Stegostoma tigrinum: one gene and its partners. The protein of the gene in region 1 purifies or fractionates together with the protein of each later gene. This does not show direct contact. Links are inferred from orthologs where the notes say so. Each region holds a gene or a part of one and is shown on either strand. Other genes may lie near its edges.

Evidence for each region.
Region 2: the proteins of shc1 (region 1) and crk purify together in Homo sapiens (affinity purification with western blotting; 3 studies listed by BioGRID and IntAct, with this or other methods). This does not show direct contact. The link is inferred for Stegostoma tigrinum from reciprocal best matches to the Homo sapiens genes SHC1 and CRK.
Region 3: the proteins of shc1 (region 1) and AP-2 complex subunit mu purify together in Homo sapiens (affinity purification with mass spectrometry; 3 studies listed by BioGRID and IntAct, with this or other methods). This does not show direct contact. The link is inferred for Stegostoma tigrinum from reciprocal best matches to the Homo sapiens genes SHC1 and AP2M1.

Annotation. Positions count from the first base shown.
Region 1 is NC_081400.1:5,339,123-5,346,293, reverse strand, and holds the start of shc1 (SHC-transforming protein 1), read right to left. Parts: upstream 3,022-7,171; 5' UTR 2,113-3,021; coding exon 1,594-2,112; intron 1-1,593. UniProt on the Homo sapiens protein: Signaling adapter that couples activated growth factor receptors to signaling pathways. Participates in a signaling cascade initiated by activated KIT and KITLG/SCF.
Region 2 is NC_081380.1:46,981,505-46,989,290, reverse strand, and holds the start of crk (adapter molecule crk), read left to right. Parts: upstream 1-4,776; 5' UTR 4,777-5,136; coding exon 5,137-5,913; intron 5,914-7,786. UniProt on the Homo sapiens protein: Involved in cell branching and adhesion mediated by BCAR1-CRK-RAPGEF1 signaling and activation of RAP1.
Region 3 is NC_081367.1:59,678,231-59,685,378, forward strand, and holds the start of AP-2 complex subunit mu, read left to right. Parts: upstream 1-4,138; 5' UTR 4,139-4,251; intron 4,252-7,148.

The DNA of each region.
Region 1 (7,171 bases):
GACTGCAGGGGAGAAAGAGTGTGACAGCGACAGTCTGCAGAGGAGACAGACAGCGACAGACTGCAGGGGAGACAGGCAGCGAGACAGCGACAGACTGCAGGGGAGACAGAGAGTGAGACAGCGACTGACTGCAGGGGAGACAGAGAGTGAGAGAGCGACAGGGGAGCGACTGCAGGGGAGACAGACAGCGAGGAAAGAAAGCTAGTGAGAGAAAGAGAGAGAGAGGCAGCAAGAGATAGAAGAAGACAAACAGGCTGAGACAACAGATCAGAGTGAGAGAGAGACAGACAGAATGAGAGAGAGAGTGACAGACAGAGTGAGAGAGAGAGAGACAGACAGAGTCAGAGAGAGAGAGAAATTATCGACATGGAGACAGAGGGCAAGGCAGACGCTCACATCCAGAGTGTGAACAGGAGACAGGATGCTAACTGTTCTGTGAAACAGTGCACTGCAGTCAGCAGGAATGTTTGTTCAGAGCTCATGCTTATTTAGGCAGAGAGTGAGTTGCCACAGACTGGCCAGAGTTTAGTGCAGGGGAAATGACTGGGGTGGAGAGAAACATTTACGGTCCGGGGGTTGGGACTGAAAGGGAGCAGGGAAGAAATGAGAGACGGTGGGGGAGGGAGGCATTAACAGGGTGTAGCTAAGAAGGGAGAACCAGCAGAAAGGGTGCAGCCAAGGGGGCAGTTGGGGGGCAATTGAGAGAGGGTGCAGCCAAGACGGCAGTGGGGGGGCTTTTGAGAAAGGGTGCAGAAGAGGAAGCTGTGGGGGCAAGTGAGAGAGGATGCAGACAAGGGGTCAGTGGAGGGAAATTGAGAGAGGGTGCAGCCGAGGGGGCAGTGGGGGGTAATTGAGAGGGGGTGCAGCCGAGGGGGCAGTGGGGGGTAATTGAGAGGGGGTGCAGCCGAGGGGTCAGTGGGGGTTAATTGAGAGAGGGTGCAGACGGGAGGTCAGTGGGGGACAATTGAGAGGGGTTGCAGCCGAGGGGGCAGCGGGGGGTAATTGAGAGGGGGTGCAGCCAAGGGGTCAGTGGGGGTTAATTGAGAGAGGGTGCAGACGGGAGGTCAGTGGGGGACAATTGAGAGGGGTTGCAGCCGAGGGGGCAGCGGGGTAATTGAGAGAGGGTGCAGCCGAGGGGGGCGGGTGTGTAATTGAGAGAGAGTGCAGCCGAAGGGGCAGTGGGGGGTAGTTGAGAGAGGGTGCAGCCGAGGGGGCGGGTGTGTAATTGAGAGAGAGTGCAGCCGCGGGGGCAGTGGGGGGTAATTGAGAGAGGGTGCAGACGGGAGGTCAATGGGGGGCAATTGAGAGGGTGTACAGACGAGGAGGCAGTCGGGGGAAATCGGGAGGGGGTGCCGACGACGAGGCAGTGCGGTGTAAGTGGGAGGGGGTGCAGACGAGGAGGCAGTGGGGGGAAATCGGGAAGGGGGTGCAGACGAGGAGGCAGTGGGGTGTTACGTGGGAGGGGGTGCAGGGGCAACTGAAGTACAGCAGGCAATGTAGGAGAAGCTGGAGGGGGGCAGTTGAGACGCTGCAGAGGGTTTGGGGAGGGAGGGAGGGAATGGTATTACACAGAAGAGTCTCAGAGGCACTCACCCGTATGAGGTAGGAGACGCCAGGCCCCATCACCTTGTCGTCTGGGTGAAGCCAGCCACGGCTGGGTTTGTTCACAAAGCTACCGTGCCGGGTCCACTCATCTCCTCCCAGCTGGCCGCCCTCCACCCGTGTCTTCTTACCTCCTCCTCCACCTCCTCCTCCTCCGCAGCCCAGCCTGTTCATGTCCTGCCGAGAGGGAGAGAAGATGGGCACAGCTCCTGAGTCACCAGGCCTCACGCTGCCCGGGGCTGGCACCGTCGTCGCTTCCCCGGGGAACCCCTTCGACTGCAGCAGGCTCGCCGGGTTCGCGAGTTTCAGGTTACCCATCCTCGGGAAGAAGGAGCACAGGGTGGTGGGGCTGTCCTCCGCCCCTGAGGACAGCTCCCCCCCATCATGGGGCAGTATAGGAGCCAGGGAGGAGGAGGAGGAGGAAGGAGGGACCAGCGCCTCCCCATGGACGGCCTCAGACGCGCTGTCGTTGTGTAAGTGACTGTATTTATTCCTATGCAGTAAATCCATGGCTGTACTCACCCAGGGAGGGCAAACCTTCTCTCATGCTCCGGCCTCCTCCTGGGTCTGAACCCAGCCCCCTTTCGGATCTGCTGTTAACTCCCCTACGAATAGAACCAGCCAGCTCGCAAACGGCTCAAACACACGACGGCCTGCGAGGGCTGGAGTACGCTTGCTTTCGCATGTGGTTGGGGCAATGGTGGGTGTCGGGGAAAGGAATATTTCTTGCAATATGTTTAAAATCTGTCGCTCGCTGCACACCTCCCCCCTCCCCTCCCGAGTCAGGTGAACTGATCGGTCCCTCTGGCTCAGATTAAAAGCAAAAACTTCTGCTGAATTCTCGAGGAGACTTGTACAGTCCAGAATGCAGACCCTCTGCACTGATCGAAACAGGGTTCATGGTCCGACAACACACACACACACACACACACACAAGAGATGACAGGCAACAGCGGTGTACAACCATGCAAGGGCCTGACAGCCACAGGGACAGGGCAGGGCTGACTCCTGGACTGTCTGTTGCCTCGGAGTTTCGTGGGCTCTGTCAATCCATGAGGAGACATCTCCATCAGCAGCAGGGCGAAAGAGGCCAGAGAGCTACAGCCCGGGTTCTCATGACTCCTGGACAGAAGCTGCTACAGGCTTCGAATGGGAGGGGAACTCAGCAGCACAGAGAGAGAGAGAGAGAGAGAGAGAGAGAGGTGGGTGGAGGAGACAGAAAAAAATGACAAGAAGCTACTCAGACAGCTTCTGCAAGTTTTATGAATGAAGGAGCGAAGGCAGCTTGAGTGGGCTTTTAGGAGCAGAGAGAGAGAGTGTGTGCATGTGTGGTCATGCGTTATTTCAGCAGTGTTCAGCTAATAGCCTTTGGGGACATTAACTCAATGAGAATAGACTCGCTGATTCATGCACAACAGTTGATGGTCTCCTGGTTCCTCGGAATTCACCATCACAGCCTCCTCCAGAAAGTTCTCCGGCCTGGCCTATTTTCCCTCTATTCTTTACATTCCATCGCAACACCATGCACAGCAAGGTTCACCGCCCCCTCCCCCCAGCGACACAGTCCACCCACCCCCCACCCCCTCAAACATTCCCAGGGACAGGGACGGCGCAGGGTCAGATACAGAGTAAAGCCTCATCTACACTGTTTCCCCCACATCAGACACTCCCAGGGACAGGGACAGCTTGGGGTTAGATACAGAGTAAAGCTCCCTCTACACTGTTTCCCCCTCGCCATCAAACACTCCCAGGGACAGCATGGGGTTAGATACAGAGTAAAGCTCCCTCTACACTGTACCCCCTCATTCAACACTGCCAGATCAGGGCCAGCACAGGGTCAAATACAGAGTAAAGCTCCCTCTACACCGTTTCCCCCCCTTCCTCCATCAAACACTGCCAGTCTTGAGTGAACGTTAAGATCCCGAGGGGCCTTGACAGGGAGGGCTTGTGGACAGGATGTTTCCTCTTGGGGAGGAATCCAGAACAAGGGGGGAATCACCGATTCAAAGTCAGGGCCGCTCTCTTCAAACAGGGAGTGGCTCATCACCAGGTTTTGAGTTTCAATGACTCTGTAACTCCATGACGGTGGGAGCCGAGAGTTTGAATATTTTTAAGACCGGGGTAGATATAGTCTTCTGAAGCGAGATGGGGGTGAGGGAAGCTGTCGGGGGAAGAGGCGAGAATCTGGAGTAACGAGATCAGCTAAAACGATTGTGAATGGCACAGTGGGGCTCGAGGAGATGGACTGACTGTTTAATCCTGCTCCTAATTCCTCTATTTGCATTCCCGAGCCCCTCAGGCTGTGTCGAAATTCCGAGCTTTTGTTTCAACGTCCAGTGCTGCCCACCCTGTTATAGGAAGGATATTGTTAAACTGGAGAGGGTTCAGAAAAGATACAACAGGATGTTGCCAGGAATGGAAGGCCTGAGGTATAAAAATAGCCTGGTTAGGTTGGGACCTTTCTTCACTGGAGGCTGAGCTTATAAGCCTTTTGGAGGTTTATAAAATCGTGAGGGGCACAGATAAGGTGAATAGCCAAGGTCTTTTCCCCGCCGAGGGTAGGGGAGTCCAAAGGCAGAGGAGATAACAGGGACTGCAGATGCTGGAGAATCCGAGATAACAAAGTGTGGGGCTGGAAGAACTCAGCAGGCCGCGCAGCATCTCAGGAGCAGGAAAGCTGACGTTTCGGGCCTAGAAGGGTCCAGGAAGGCTTCTAAGATGCTGCTCGACCTGCTGTGTTCTTCCAGCCCTACACATTGTTACCAAAGGCAGAGGAACATGGGTTTAAGGTGAGAGGGGCAAGATTTAAAATGGACACGAGGGGCAACCTTTTGTTTAAAACACAGAGAACGGTTCGTGTGTGGAATGAACGGCTGGGGAAGCGATGGAAGCAGACACTGGTACAATGTTTAAAAAGACATTTGAATAAGGACATGAATAGGGAAGGGATAGGGGGTCAGGAACAGGGGAAACGGCACAAGGACTATGATTATGGTCAGCAGCTGGGTACTTCAGGGTCAACCACATTGCTGTGGGTCTGGAAGAACTCAGCAGGTAGCGCAGCATCTCAGGAGCAGGAAAACTGATGTTTCGAGCCTAGAAGGGTCTAGGAAGGCTCCTAAGATGCTGCTTGGCCTGCTGTGTTCTTCCAGCCCTACAGTGTAGGCCAGACCAGGTAAGGACAGCAGTTTCCTTCCCTAAAGGGTGTTGGTGAACCACACGGGTTTTTCCCGACAATCGAAATTTGAACGTGGAAAGAACATACAAGGAGAAAGCAGACTGGACCAGTTACTTTTTCTCAGAAAGGCCGTCCTTTGGTCACAGCACAAGGCGAGGCCGTTCGTCCCGGCGTGACAATACTAGCTCCCTGCACCCCACCTTTAGCGCTGCCAATGTCCCTCCGCAGAAAGTGATCCAATTAATTTTTTTGGAACTGAACTGAGCAGGGAAATGTTTCAGCTGACTCTACTTACACTAGAACACAGTAACTAGCAGATCGTTCAGCCCGTTTATGGATGTTCTGCCATTCAACACAATCATGGCTGATCTCAACTTGGCCTTAACACCACTGCCCTGCACGCTCCCTGCAACCTGTTGCCAATAAATTGAGTTAAACAAGCTAATCTCCTCCTTCAACTTACTCAGCGTTCCAGCATTCACTGCTCTCTGCGTACCTGAGCCCCACAGATTTCCTTCGTCAGATGACGGTCCTCCTCATCTCTGTTTTAAAACTTATTCTAAACCCTTGGCCTCTCATTCAAGGCTGCCCCACAAGGAGAAACATCTGCTCCACATCTACTTTATCAACCTCCTTTCATGTCTGTTTCGCCTCAATTAGACCTCCTTTCATTCCTCTCAAAACCAGAGAGAATCCAACTAAACCGCTCAATTTCTCCTCAGTGGTTAGCACTGCTGCCTCATGGCAACAGGGACCCGGGTTCGAACACACCCTCCTGACTGTGCGGAGTTTGCACATTTTCCCCGTGTCTGTGTGGGTTTCCTCCGGGTGCTCTGGTTTCCTCCCACAGTCCAAAGATGTGCAGGTTAGGGTGGGATTGGCCGTGTTAAATTGTCCCGTAGTGCCCAGGGATGTGCGGGTTAGGGTGGATTGGCCGTGCTAAATTGTCCCGTAGTGCCCAGGGATGTGCGGGTTAGGGTGGCTTGGCCGTGGTAAATTGTCCCGTAGTGCCCAGGGATGTGCGGGTTAGGGTGGGATTGGCCGTGCTGAATTGTCCCATAGTGCCCAGGGATGTGTGGGTTAGGGTGGATTGGCCGTGCTAAATTGTCCCGTAGTGCCCAGAGATGTGCGGGTTAGGGTGGATTGGCCGTGCTAAATTGTCTCGTAGTGCCCAGGGATGTGCGGGTTAGGGTGGGTTGGCCGTGCTAAAATATGCAGGTTAGTGTGGACTTGCCATGGGGGACATGGGGATAAGGAGTTTGGTGGGGGGGGGGGGCGAGGGTTGTGTTGTAGAGGCTGGAGGAGGTGACAGAGATAGGGAGGGAGTGTAAGTGGCTGGAGGGGGTGACAGAGATAGGGAGGGGGTGTAGGGGGTTGGAGGGGGGCACAGAGATAGGGAGGGGGTGTAGGGGGCTGGAGGGGGTGACAAAGACTTCCCTGAGCCCCAGCAACATTGAGCTTCGGTGATTCAGTTCCTTTTGCAGCAGAGCTTACAGTAGCCCTTCCTGAACTGGAGCATGCCTCTCTCTCTCTTTCCGTCTCACTATCACACGCACACTGTCTTCTAGTCACGTTGCCTGTCACCTTTAAAGTCCTGTTCAGTGACACCCCACACTATTTTTAGTAACCAGTCAGAAACTTTGCCACATGTGTCACAGAATTGCAGCTGCTCAGCAATGCTACATGTCCTGCAGAACAGAAACACTCCGTTCGGTTGAACCAGTTTGTAATCGCAAACCAGAGATAATGGGAACCGCAGATGCTGGAGGATCCAAGATAACAAAGTATGGAGCTGGATGAACACAGCAGGCCAAGCAGCATCTCAGGAGCACCAAAGCTGACGTTTAGGGCCTAGACCCTTCATCAGAAAAAAGGATAACACCCTTACTGGCGTAACATTCACAAAAGAGGAGGAAAACAATAAGAAACTGCCATTCCTAGATGTCACAGTAGAGCGAACAGCCAATGGGGAACTTCAAACCAGCGTCTGCAGGAAAACAACACATCCGGACCAAATACTGAACTACAGGAGCAACCATCCCAACACCCACAAACGAAGCTGCATTAGAACATTATTCCAACGAGCCACCACACACTGCAGCACCGAGGAACTACGCAGAGCAGAGGAAAATCACCTGTACAGCGTATTCAAAAAGAATGGGTATCCTATGAACACAGTCCACCGATTTCTCAGCAACAAACCCAAACAAACAGACAAAACGGGCCCAGAAACCATAACCACACTCCCCTACAAAATACCTTGCAAGAACTGTGACAAACACTACATTGGACAAACAGGCAGTGAGTCTAATTAACTTAATTCACCCTCAAACTGTCTCGCTGTGAAAAAAAAAGATCTCAATCTCCTCAAGCCCCACTGAGCGAACCAAA
Region 2 (7,786 bases), on another chromosome or scaffold:
CACCAAGAAATGTGAAGACGAAGGCCAATGAGGAATATCCAAGACCATCCTCGAAGAAGGAAATGCTACGCTTTCGGAACTGAGCGGATTCTACAGGAAATCTCCACCAAATTTCAGTAGCATGGTGGTACCGCTGAGGAGTTTGTTAAAGGAGAAGATGAAATTTCGGTGGACAGAACAAGGACAGGAGGCATTTGAGAATTTAAAAGCTACGTTAGCTACCACACTAGTTTTAGCCGCACCAAATTTCTTCAAAGCCTTTAAAGTCACCATCAACACAAACAATGTAAGCGTCGGAGATGTGTTGTTCCAGGAGGATGATTGTGGAATTGAAAGGCCAATCAGTTATTGTTCAAAGAAACTCAATATCCACCAGAGAAAATACTTAGCCATTTAAAAATAGTTATTGGCATTACAACATTTTCATGTTTACATTGCAAACAATGTCTTGGAGACAGTCGTGTACTCTGACCACAACAATTTGACATTTTTGGTGAGATTTAAGGGCCAGAACACTAGCCTATTTTGTTTAGCCTTATGATACAAGCATTTAATTTACATATTGTACAAGTTACAGGTCGTGAAAATGTTACTGCGGAAGCGTTATTTTGGGTTTAAAAGAAAAATGTGTATAAGATAGAAACGTTAGTGTTCAATGTTATGTATGTATACAGAATTAGTATGAAAAGTGTAACACAGGATTAATGAGCTATGGATAGAGTAATAGTGGTGTTAAGGTTTAGATAAAAAAGAAGAAAGAATGAAGCCATTTTTCATTATGATTGTTCATTTTTTTCTGAGGGGGATGTGTTGCAAAATTGGGCATACTATTGATGGATTAAAAGGCAGGATGTTAGATTTTTTTAAGTTTGTAAATTGATAAGAGGGAAAAGTGCATATTCCTTTAAAAATAGATGTGTGTTTTTCCTAGGCTTGGAGATTTTAAAAGTCTGCAAGCAGCACAGCTGCACAGAGAGTTCCTGAAGGGAAACATTTGTATTGAGGGGGTATATTGTGGGTATATCTGCAGGAAAAGCAGCATCTTTTACTAATCAACAGGCTTTGAAATTTATCCAATTAATTTAAACTAGGCCCCAATCTAATGGTTTTGACAACCTTGGACCAATTTTATTATAAGAAATTAACAGGTCATCAGAAGTATAAAAGAAGAGGGTATTTGAAAATCAGGGTAAGAGCAACTGCCATCTAAGAGAAATAACAACCCATAAGCTCTAAAGAGAAACACTGGCTCTCATGGAATTCTATCAGCTCTCAGAAAAAAAACCCATCATCTAATTAAAGGTACAGTAGCATTTTACCAGAATTTGACAGCGAAAGGCATTCCTGGTGGAGAATCAGTTCAGAGGGTGTGGAGCATCTGGAAGGTGTATCCTGGCTGTAAATTTGAGAGATTAAGCTTTAATTGTTTTTATTAATTTGGTTTCTAAGTGGGACATGTATCAATTAGAGCAGCTTACCATTAGAATTTTGTCTTATTTGGGAATAGTTTGTAGTTAAGGGGTGAATTGTTCAATTTGTTAGTAGTTCTGTTAATTTGTTAACTGTTGGAGTTAGATAAATTGTTACTTGTTGATTGTGAGTGAATGTCGGAAGTTCATCTTACTTTCACCTCTCCTTTATGACAGATTGGGAGGTGAGAGGCAGGTTATACTAATTTTCGCATTTCGTTTAACAGATTATGAAGTGAGGCAAGCTTCTCTGAGGTTTTGGTTTTAATTATCAGAGGGGTTTGACCACTCCTTCATAACAATAGCACTCTGCATAATTCTCGTCATCCTGCTATAGGAAGAATATTATTAAACTTGAGAGGTGTAAAATAGATTTACAAGGATATTACCAAGTCTGGAGGGTTTGATCTATAGGGAGAGGCTGAATAGGCTGGGGCTATTTTCAATGGAGTGTAGAAGGCTGATAGATGACTTATAGAGGTTTATAATATCATGAGAGTCATTGATAAGGTAAATAGGCCAAGTCTTTTCCCCAAGGTTTGGGAGTCCAAAACCAGAGGGCAGAAGTTTAAGGTGAGAGGGGAAAGACGCAGAAGGGACCTTGAGGGGCAGCTTTTTCACACAGAGGGTGGTACATATATAGAATGAGCTGCTAGAGGGAGTGGTAGAGGCAAGTACAGTTACAACATTTTTAAAAAGACCTTTGGACAGGTACATGAATAGGGGAGGTTTAGAGGGCAATGTGGCCAAACACAGACAAACGGGAACAAAACCAGAAGTTGCAGGAAAAGCTCAGCAGGTCTGGCAGCATCTGTGAAGAGAAATCAGAGATAATGTTTCAGGTCTTGTGACCCTTTCTTAGAACTCAGTTCTAAGGAAGTGTCATGGGACCAAAAACATTAACTCTGATTTTCTCTTCGCAGATGCTGCCAGACCTGCTGAGCTTTTCCTGCAACTTCTGGTTTTGTTCCTGATTTACAGCATCTGCAGTTCTTTTGGTTTTTATTTATATAGACAAATGGAACTAGTTCAGTTTCGGAAACACGGTTGGTAAGGACTAGTGAGGCTGAAGGGGCAGCGGATTGTCTGACTTACAGAAGGCAGAGGCAAGGGATAAAGGGGTCTTTTCCAGGATGGAAGCTGGTGACTACTGGAGTTCTGCATGGTTTCATGTTGAGATCACAGAATCACATCATATGTTAATCATCTGAACAAAGGAGCTGAGGGCATTGTTGTTATATTTGCAGATGACACAAAGATGGGTGGAAGGATAGGTAGTGCTGAGGAATCAGGGAGGATGCAAAAGTACTTGGATAAGCTAGTGTTGAAAGAATTGGCAGATGGAATACAATGTGGGAAAATGTAATTGTGCACTTTGGAAGGAAGAATAGAGGCATTGACTATTTCCTAAATATGGAAAGGCTTTTGGAAATCTGAGACAGAAAGACTTGGAAGTCCTCGTTCAGGATTCTCTTTAAGAGTTAATATGTGGGTTCACTTGGCAGTGGGGAGGGCAAATGCAATGTGAACATTCATTTCCAGAGGGCTAGAATACAAGAGCAAGAGATGTACTGCCGAGGCTGTATCGGGTTCAGGCCAGACTGCATTTGGAATATTGTGGGCAGTTTCCTTCCTCGTATCTAAAGGAGGATGTGCTGATGTTGGAGGTGGTACAAAAAAGGTTTACAATAATGATCCCAATAATGAAGGGCTTGTCATAATGAGGAGTGGTTGAGGACTCTGGGCCTGTACTTGATTGAATTTAGAAAATCGAGGGGGGATCTGATTGGTAATGAGGCCTGGATACAGTAATTGCGAAAAACATGCTTCCACTTTTAGGAGACATTAGGAACCCAGGACACAGTCTCAGCATGTAGGGGCATCTAGAGCTGAGATGAGATGGAACTCTTCAGTCAAATGGTTGTTAATCTGCAGCAATCATTGCCACACAGGGATGTGGAGGCCAAGTCATCGAGCATATCTAAGACAAAGATAGATAAATTCTTGATTGGTAAGGGATCAAGGGTTACGGGGAGAAACCAGGAGAATGGGGTTGAGGAGCATATCAGCCATGATTACTTGGTAGAACAACCTTGATGGGCCGTATGGCCTAATATATGGTCTAAAAACAAATCATTATTATTTCTGAATTCCTCCATGGTATTGTCCCTCCATCTCTCCTGGGTCCTCAATTCTGTTGCTTGAACATCCTAATTTTAATTGATCCACCTGGTAGCTTTGCTATCAGCTCTGTCCAGGCTGCATAATGTGGATTTGCCTTAGTCCAACATATCTACATATTCGCATGACCGCCCTATCGATACATTCACAAAAAGAAACAAACTATTTCATTAATTTTGATGTGAATGCTATGTAATTAACCTAGGGATATTCACCAGGATGATGCCTTGGATAGAGCACTTCAGCTATGAAGGAAGGCTGGATAAGTTCAGGCTATTTTATTTGGAGTAGTGAAAGTTGACGAGTCTGTATCTGGGTGTATAAGACCATGAAGGATATGGAGAGGGTGGACAGAGAGAAAGTATCAAGTGGAATTAAGAACAAGGCACCATAATTTTAAAGTGAAAAGCCAAAAGGCTCACAACCTTTAAAAAAGTAGTTTAATGAACAACTGAAGTGTCATAACATAGAAGGCTGTGGGCCTACTGCTTGATTACGGGACTAGTATAGGTACTAGCATATTTTGACAGTACAGACTCAATGGACCAAAGCACCTCATCGATACTGTGTGATTCTATGAATCAGTGCCCTAAACTTCTCCACCACCCCTCAGTCCTCAGGCCCTACGGCCCTACCTGAGTATCAAACTAATGTCTTTCAGTGCTTCAGTACCAAAATCTTTGTTTGGTAATCCTCCCTTGAATCATGTTCAGGTGTTTCAATATAAAATTTTCGTATGATATTGAAGAAAGCTCACTGGACTCGAAACATTGACTTTGTGTTCTTTTCACAGACGCTGGCAGACCTACATAGTTTCTCCAGCAATTTCTTGTTTTTGTTTGTTTCGGATTTCAGCGTCCGCAGTTCTTTGTTTCAATTTTGTTTGATGATCTGCAGCCCCGGGACCACCCCTGGTTGACTGGGTTGCAGGCGCCATGTCGGTGCAATTGGATATTGCTGGACCCTCTAGCACAAGAAGGGAGTCCAACACGACCTCACCAAGATGGCAGACGGCTATTCCCATCGCCACGAGCTGCCCTTCCGAGTGGTGGGGTCAGCGCTCGCCCTCTCTCTCTCTCCACCCGACCTCACTCCAGGGAGTGCGCGTGCGCAGTGGGGCGGTCCCTTTTAGAGAACAAACGCCCTAATCAAAAGTCGGCGGATAGAAATCGGCTAAAAGGGTCGGGCGCAGTTAACGATTCCGCTGTTCTCGCGCGCTATTTTCCAACAGATTTACAGTGAGAGGGGAAAAAAAATATAAGTTTCACAAACAAGAGGCGGCCGATCTGAGAACTGACGCGGGGGGACGGATTTTATGAAGTAAACACGCGTCTGTTTGCCGCCCGGGGACTTTATATTTTCTTTAGTTTAGTGTGTTGTGAAGGGAGGCCTGAGGCCTAGGCGGCGAGTAGGCCGCTGCCGGCACCGCTGGGCAGGCAGAGCGGAGCTGAGAGTAGCCCGGCCCGGGTAGAGCACACTGAGGGACATGGCGGCTAATTTCGACGCCCAGAAGCAAGAGAGTTGGTACTTCGGTCCCATGAGGCGGGACCAAGCCGTGTCTCTGCTGATGGGCCAAAAGCACGGCACTTTCCTGGTGAGGGACAGTCGCACCATCCCAGGGGACTACGTGCTGAGTGTCAGCGAGAACTCGAAGGTGTCGCATTATATCATCAACAGCCGGCAGCAGCAAGGCCCAGGCCCCGGGCCCGGGCGCTACCGCATTGGCGACCAGGAGTTCGAGAATTTGCACGGCCTGCTGGAGTTCTACAAGATCCATTACCTGGACACCACCACCCTGCTGGAGCCTGTCCACAGGCCCAACGCCGCCTACATCCCCACCAACAGCGTCCCGTCTGAGGAGGCCCACTTTGTCCGCGCCCTCTTCGACTTCCCCGGCAACGACGAGGAGGACCTGCCGTTCCGCAAGGGCGACGTGCTCCGCATCCTGGACAAGCCCGAGGATCAGTGGTGGAACGCGCAGAACAGCGAAGGCCGCTGCGGCATGATCCCCGTGCCTTACGTGGAGAAATGCCGGCCCAGCTCGCTGCTCGGCCCGGCTAACAGCCCGGAGGGCGGCCAGGCGTTAGCGGCCCAGCACCAGCCCTCGCCGGGGGTTGGCGGAGTTGGGCAGCCTGAGTTCGGGCCCTATGCCCAGCCTAGTGTCAGTGCCTCGCTGCCCAACCTCCAGAACGGGCCGGTGTATGCCCGGGCCTTCCAGAAGCGTGTCCCCAATGCCTATGATAAGACGGCCCTGGCTCTGGAGGTAGGTGCCTTGTGGTCCATTCCGTTTCCTCCCCCTTTTCAGCAGTGCTCTGTCAGTCTGGGTATTCGAGTATTGCTGGTCGCTATACTTGGGGAAGGAAGGCAAATATCCGAAGACGGTGAAAAAGTCGATGATAAGTAATGTAAGATTAAGAACTTTCAGCGTTCTGCCCTGGTTTTAAAGAGAAGTCCTATTGGACGTGAAACGTTAACGCCAGATGCTGCTGGGCTTGTTGAATTTTTCTAGCGCTTTGTTTTTTTTTTCAGATTTCTAGCCTCACATTTTGCTTTTATTCTGCTTGAAAATCTGATTTTGATTAGTGTTAAGCTTTTTTATTTGATAACACTCGTGAAACAACTTGGGCTGTTAGGGATACTGTATCAATATTGAGCGCAGTGTTGAAAAGCTGAGATTGTCCTTTTTTTAAAAAAAGAAAGTGAGGGATATGGGGAATCTGGTGCCTTTGCTTATAAAACATTCCAAGGCACGCAATTGTTAGACCTGATTTGACAATGGGTTATGAGATGATATTAGAACAGATGACAATTTTTGTTGGAGGTGAATTTAAATAGGAGCAAATTTAGCAGGGTGGATATCCAAAACACACAGGCCTCAACTGTTGAAGGCACAACCACCAGTAGTGGACCAATTAAAATCAGGAACAAGGGAAATGCCAAGATTGTGAATCTCAGGTTTGTTGAACTCGGGAAGTTTTTAGAATTTAGAAGGCAGTGCTGCTTTGGGCTGAACACACAGATCCGAATTTTAAAATCAAAATGTTGCCTTAACTGGAATGATACTAGGGATGATGATGTGAGGAAAACTGGATTGTTTTCCTTGTGATTTGTGTGCTTACAATCCCAAATGATTTGGATTGAATAGATAAGGATGAAACAGTTTCCTTGTCAGAAAATGTGGAGCTGGAAAAGCACAGCCAGTCAGACAGCATCCCAGGAGTAGGAAAGTCAACGTTTCGGGCAGAGACCCTCCATTAGGATGGGTTTGATGAAGGGCTTCGGTCCAAAATGTTGACTTTCCTGCTCCTTGGATGCTGTCTGACTGTGCTTTTCCAGCTCCACATTTATTGATTCTAGCTTCCAGCACTTGCAGTCGTTACTGTCTCCAATGTCAGAAAGATCTGTAACCAGAGAGCACTAGTTTTATAGAGATCAGAGATAATGGGAACTGCAGTTGCTGGAGAATTCCAAGATAATAAAATGTGAGGCTGGATGAACACAGCAGGCCAAGCAGCATCTCAGGAGCACAAAAGCTGACGTTTCGGGCCTAGACCCTTCATCAGAGAGGGGGATGGGGAGAGGGAACTGGAATAAATAGGGAGAGAGGGGGAGGCGGACCGAAGATGGAGAGTAAAGAAGATAGGTGGGGAGGTAGGGAGGGGATAGGTCAGTCCAGGGAAGACGGACAGGTCAAGGAGGTGGGATGAGGTTAGTAGGTAGATGGGGGTGCGGCTTGGGGTGGGAGGAAGGGATGGGTGAGAGGAAGAACCGGTTAGGGAGGCAGAGACAGGTTGGACTGGTTTTGGGATGCAGTGGGTGGGGGGGCGGAAGAGCTGGGCTGGTTGTGTGGTGCAGTGGGGGGAGGGGACGAACTAGGCTGGTTTAGGGATGCAGTAGGGGAAGGGGAGATTTTGAAACTGGTGAAGTCCACATTGATACCATATGGCTGCAGGGTTCCCAGGCGAAATGAGTTGCTGTTCCTGCAACCTTTGGGTGGCATCATTGTGGCAGTGCAGGAGGCCCATGATGGACATGTCATCTAGAGAATGGGAGGGGGAGTGGAAATGGTTTGCAACTGGGAGGTGCAGTTGTTTGTTGCGAACTGAGCGGAGGTGTTCTGCAAAGCGGTCCCCAAG
Region 3 (7,148 bases), on another chromosome or scaffold:
ATAATGAAACTGTAGCACTCTAGCAGCACACAAGAGACCAACATATATACAAGTCAAAACAGGTACAAAGTCTAGGTCTCAGGAATGCCACACTGTCACCAAATCCAAGAAGGATTGTAAAATCACCCATAAGTTTTACATATTCTTAAAATCCCCTACAGTGCAGAAAGAGGCCTTTCAGCCCATCAATATGCACTGACCATCCAAAGAACCTCCCCCCACCCGATCCATGTAACTCTGCATTTACCATGGCTAATCCAACTAGCCTGCACATTCGTAGTCACTATCGGTTCACATGGGCAACCCACCTAACCTGAACATCTTTAGATGGTGGGAGGAAATTAGACCATCCAGAGGAAACCCATGTTGACACAAGGAGAATGAGCAAACGCCACGCAGACAGTCGCCAAATGCTGGAATCAAACCCAGGTCTCTGGTATTATAAGACAGCAGTGCTAACCACTGAGCCACCATGCTGCCCAGAATAGTAAACCTGCAAATCTTTCATTTCTTGTTTCTTTGTAAATAGCTTTGCAACTAATTTATTCATACTTTCATTATTAGTACGTATCTTCTTTCCTTGGAAAGAAAGGGAATACTGTGTTGCTGTTTTAACTGCTGGGTATGCTAAAAACCAAAGGACCATGATGACACCACATGATGAACAGCTGTGAGTCCAAGCAACAGCTTGGCAAAAGGCATCTGATTTGATGAGGCGCTGCGTTAAGATATGACATCCACCTTGTGTTAGGCAATGTCCATCTGAAGTTGAAGAAGCCACAACCACGTTATCATAACAGCCATTTGTAGCAAAGAAACTAAGGAAATGGATATGTCAGAAAGTATCCAGCTGACCTTCTTCAAAAGAACTGAAGCACCATTGAGGTCAGGCAAACTTGAGAAACAGTAGATAATCTTCAAAAGATGGACTAAAGAGAGTGTAGAACCATCATCAGGTGGCAGAGAGGAGCCAACAAAGAATGATGGATCTCTGACCCAAGCTGTAAGTTGCTTGATGAAAGAGCATTAGAGAAGAGCAAGAAAGACCTGGAAATACTATTTGAACAAAAACAAAAATTCAGCAAGAAGTACTGAAAACCAGATGAAGCATAAAACAGGTTCAACGCCGAGGAACAAAATCTCAAACATCAGCACTCTCAACACTGAGCCCCCAAGGATGTGTCCTCAGCCCCCTACCGTACTCTCTGTACACCTACGACTGTGTTGCCAAATTCCAAACAAACACCATCTACAAGTTCGCTGATGACACCACTGTAGTGGGATGGATATCTAAAACGACCAATCAAAATACAGAAGAGAGATAGAGGGTGACATGGTGCAATGAAAACAATCTGTCTCTCAACGTCAGCAAAACTAAAGAACGGATCATCATCTCAGAAAGAAAGGAGGAGATCACGGCTCCATCTACATCAACAGAACTGAGGTTGAGGGAGTGAACTGCATCAAGTTCCTCAGAGTGAGGACAACCGACCTCCCATCCTGGAATTCCACGTAAATGTAACAGTCAGGGAGGCACAACAATGCCTCTTCTTCCTCAGGCAGCTCAGGAAATTTGGCATGTCTATAGGGTCTGTCACCAACTTTTACAGATGCACCATTGAAAGCATTGTCTGGGTGCATAATGGCCTGGTACAGCAACTGCTCTGCACAGGAACTTAAGAAACTACAAAAGGTGGTGTGCATTGCCCAGACCATCATGGAAACCAACTTTCCATCCACGAACTCTATTTACATGACTTGCTGCTGTAGAAAGGCAGCCAACATCATCAAAGACCCATTGCATGCTGGTAATGACCTGCCACAACTTCGTCCAACAGGCAGAAGATATAGAAGCCTGAACGCACCCACAAGCAGATTCAGGAACAGAGATAGTAGGAACTGCATATGCTGGAGAATCTGAGATAACAAGGTGTAGAGCTGGATGAACACAGCAGGCCAAGCAGCATTGGAGGAGCAGTAAGGCTGCTAATGTGGTATACTGCAGCCGCTGTTCCCATTGTGGCCTCCTTTACATTGGCGAAATGAAGCGGAGCCTTGGGGACCGCTTTGCAGAACACCTATGCTCGATTTGCACTAAACAACTGCACCTCCCAGTCGTGAATCATTTCAATTCCCCATCCCATTCCTCAGACAACATGCCCATCCTGGGCCTCCTGCAATGCCACAATGATGCCACCCGAAGGTTGCAGGAACAGCAATTCATATTCCTCTTGGGAACCCTGCAGCCCAATGGTATCAATGTGGACTTCACAAGCTTCAAAATCTCCCCTTCCCCCACCGCATCGGAAAACCAACCCAGCTCGTCCCTGCATCTCTAACCTGTCCTTCCTCTCACCTATCCCCTCCTCCCACCTCAAGTCCCACCCCCGTCTCCTACCTACTAACCTCATCCCGCCCCCTTGACCTGTCTGTCCTCCCTGAACTGACGTATGTTCTCCCTTAACTGACCTATATCCTCCCTACCTCCCCACCTACACTCACCTTTACTGGCTCCATCCCTGCCTCTTTGACCTGTCTGTCTCCTCTCCACCTAGCTTCTCCTCTATCCATCTTCTATCCGCCTCTCCCTGTCTATCTGTTTATTTCAGAACCCCCTTCCCCTCCCCCATTTCTGAAGAAGGGTCTAGGCCCAAAACGTCAGCCTTCCTGCTCCTCTGATGCTGCTTGGCCTGCTGCGTTCATCCAGCTCTACACCTCGTTTTAGACAATAGACAATAGGTGCTGGAGTAGGCCATTTGGCCCTTTGAGCCATCACCACCAATCATTATATTCATGGCTGATCATCCACAATCAGTATCCTGTTCCTGCCTTATCCCCATAACCCTTGATTCCATTATCTTTAAGAGCACTATCTATCTCTTTCTTGAAAGTTTCCAGAGAGTTGGCCTCCACTGCCTTCTGGGGCAGAGCATTCCATATATCCACCACTCTCTGGGTGAAGAAGTTTTTCCTCAACTCTGTTCTAAATGGCCTACCCCTTATTTTTAAACTGTGTCCTTTGGTTCTGGACTCACTCATCAGCGAAAACATGCTTCCTGCCTCCAGAGTGTCCAATCCCTTAATAATCTTATACATCTCAATCAGATCCCCTCTCATCCTTCTAACCGCAAGTGTATACAAGCCCATTCGCTCCAATCTTTCAACATATGATAGTCCCACCATTCCAGGAATTGACCTCGTGAACCTACGCTGCACTCCCTCAATAGCCAGAATGCCCTTCCTCAAATTTGGAGACCAAAACTGCACACAATACTCCAGGTGCAGTCTCACCAGGGCCCTGTATAGCTGCAGAATGACCTCTTTGCTCCTATACTCAGATAGATCTCAGATTCAGGAATAGCTTTGTTTTTGGTCGTTATCGGACTGTTGAATGGACTCCAGCCTCAAAAATGTAATCTGCAATGTAACCTGTATGCCCGTTAGTCTTTTTGATCTGTTTTTCCTATACTTGCTGTGATCTGCTTGTACTGCTCATTAACAAAGCCTTTCATTGTATTTCAGTATATGTGACAATAAAAATCAAATCGTGATCAAAGTCAAAATCAGGAAGAACTGCAGGGGAGATAGAGTGATAGATGGATAGAGTTATGAGATGGGCATCCATTTTAGGATCAAAGAGGAATTTCTTCACTTAGATGATAGTAAATCTTTGGAAATATCTGCTCCAGGAAATTGTGGAATCTCAATCACTGAGTAAGCCTAAGACAGAGATAGATTTTTTCATTCTAATGCCATCAATGGGTGTTGAGATGATGTGGGAAAAATTGATGTAGATGCTTAGCCATGATATTGAGTGATGGTGGAGACTCCATCTGTTGTTTCTATTAACACCAGGTAAGAGACATCTTATAAGGGATAGGAAATCGTATATGTTACTGTGGGCTTAACAGCAGACTAACACTAAATTGACTAGTTCCCCTCTCACTGAAGTATTAGGTCACTGCTGGTAGGAGCCATTCTAATGTTTCTAAGTTAGCTGTTTCAAATCATTTCCCTTTGTTTACTGCAACCATACTGTCCTGGTGCTGCTTCTTTGGGACCATTCTCAGTGAGTGAGTGTGAGTGAATGAATGAATGAATGGGCGTGGACATTCACATGGAGCGGCTCGAGGTCACGTGACCCTCAGTAGACCGTGATGACGTCTAGGTCCTCATCATGTGACCCGCCGGGCAGCCGCGCTGAGGCAGGGCGACGGCGGACATTTTGTGAGGAGCCGGTAGAAACGGCGGGTAGGTGTGTTCGGGTCGGGTTGACAGTGGGCTCAGGCCACAGGTACCGGCTATCCTCCCGTAGCCTGAGGTGTAGAGGCCTCAGTGGCTGCAGACCTTAGAGTTGGCCGGGAAGGAAGCAAGGAGAAAAGAGGAAAGGGGGTGGCGGACATTTTGTGAGGAGCGGCCAGTCCCCACAACACCCACCCCGGGTTTCTTTTTGGGGGTACGGGGGCGGGGAGGAATAAGGATGGTGTTCGTGGGTGCGGTGGAGGAGGAATAACCCCCGACGGCAGTGTGCCGCTTGTGGGGATACCTGGCCTACAGATGCCCTGCACCCTTCCTGGAAGAGGATAGGGCAATGATGAAATATTATAACCCAACTCTCCCTGGTGTGGGTGTTGTACCACCTCAGTTCCAGGAGCGCAATTTGTTACGCTAATTAGCTCTCCTAATTCTGATTCCGAATTTCATGGCTGCATTCAGTACTGCAAGCAGCAATGTCAGAGAGGTGTCCTCCACTGGTAAACCACCACCCCCTCCACCCACCCCCTTGTCTGCTGCAATGGGTGCTCGGGTATCTGGCCATATTTCTCTGACTCCCCAAATCAATCACCTTTGAAAAGGAAAACCACGTTATCTGTTTGTACAGACCTTGCAATTGTGGGATCTGCCTGCCTCTTAAATTGGATTTTGAGTACCGTCCTTTAGATCCAAGTTGTCTGATCTACTCTAATAGCTTGACCTGAGAGGATTTATATTATGAGGCTATCAGCCCACCATATTTGCGTTGGCTTCGCTTCCTTGCTGTGGAAGTCTTATTTGTAGCTTGGTTGGTGAATTCAGTTTATAAATTAGTTTCTGGTTTGTAACAATGCCTTATGTAATTTTGTCTATTTGTGGCTTTGTCATTTGTGAATGATTTTACCTTGAGTGCTTTTTATTTGATTATTAGTTTAGAAATGCCAGAATTAGATTAATTCTGAAATAAGTTATGTAGTGTTATAATGTATGCTTTGTGGATATTTGATAGGCTAGTATTCTAGATCATATTGATCATTGTATTTATGTAAATGTAAAACTTTAGGTTTTCACTACCTACCTTTCCCTTTAGCCCATAAGTTTATTTTCTGTCTGGTCTTTAATAAGTTCTCTTTTAAATGCATGATTAAATATTCTTCTGCCATGTACTCAAGCAGTGCATTCTAAATCTGTTTTTTTTTGGATCTGGTCACTTTAAATCGGTGTCCTTGGGTTCTTCACACTTCTACCAATGGGAACAGTTTCTCCCTATTTGTTCTAAAACCTCTCAATTATCAAACTAACTTTGACTAAGCAGGTTGAAGTCTGCTTGGGGAACAAACTTGACCTCTGTAATTTACATCCTATCAAGCCCTATTAAGCAGAGAGAAGTGCATTCTATAAACTGAAATAAAGCTTACAGTTGAGATGTGGATTTTAATGTATTTATTAATTTAACAAAGTGAACAATGGTTTGGAACCCAAATTAATTTCAATATCTAGGCTGAATGTGATACATAAATGTCAGTACATTTTAAGCTATTTCCTGCCTATACTGTGTCACCGCAATGTCTTGGTGGTGGTTAACTCCATTAGCTGTTGACTTTTGGGGGGGGGGAGTGGAAAATACCTAATAATGTAACTTAGTTCACAGAATTGAATTTCACGTGAACTGGGTCGTGATGAGTGCAGACACTAGAAGCATGGTCATTCTCTTAATGCCTATCCATCTTGTGTTCATCCCACTTGAGATGCCACATTTTGTTGTATGTCCTATATTCTACGCAAAGAAAACCAATCGTTTCCTGTAGCCTGAAATTTAGCTTTTAAATTGAATAAATATATCAGTTGCATTGGGAGTGGACATACTTTATTCGAACATTGCCTTCTAAAGGAAATGCACCTGCTCAGAGCTGAGGTCCTGAACTAAGGTCTGAGCAATACCACAAGAGGCCCATTGTATCTTCCCCTCAAATGGCTGAATATGCTGACTGCTCGGTTTTCAGCTTTTGCAGAGTGCCTTTTTATTAGTTTAATTATGGATTTACATGTAATATGGATTATGTCAATTTGGGTTTTGAACTGTGTATTACCATCATGGAGTCCTTTTCAGGATGACATCAAATAAATTCAGATGCAGTACTGATGCAGTTGAACTGTACCTAAGATCATAGTTTTTTTCCTAATGCTTGTTATTGTCATGAACAGCGCTGCTCAATTTTGTTTTGATCTGGTTATAGAGTGCTAATGTTTTCAGTGTCAAGCAGGTACTGACATCCAAAGTTTAGGGAATAAATCCACATTCCATGGATTTGAATAAACAACACATTTTGTGACTGAAGGTTACAATATCCACAAGTGCCAGATTTCATTATGGAGGATTGCAGAAAAGCGTGATTTTAATGTATGCTGTATCAAGCCCAGTGTGATACTTAAGTCTGTTGACAAGCTGTTGGTCCAGTTAGAAACCATAGAAATGATAGAGCACAGAACAAGTCCGTTCAGCCCAACTTTTCATTCCAACCCAAATGCTGTTTTAAATCCCATCTTGCCTACATAGCTGTAGTTATGCAACTAACAGTACTTAAGATGTAGATGCAGAATACTTTTAGAAAGTGTTTAGAGTCTCTTTGTCACCTCCAACTTGGGCAGCAAACTTCAGACACCTACGACCTGCTGAGTTCTTAAAACATGGTTTTTCCTCCTTTGCATGCTAATTCTTCTGCCATTTATCTTAATCTTTGACTGCTGGTTTTTGAACTCTTCCAAAGGAAGTGAGTCTCTCCTGTCTACTCCATCTCTATCCCTCAATTTTGTATACCTTAATCATATCACTACTGAGCCTCCTTTGTTCCAAGGGAATCAACCCCAATCTCTCCATGCAGCTACAGTTCCCC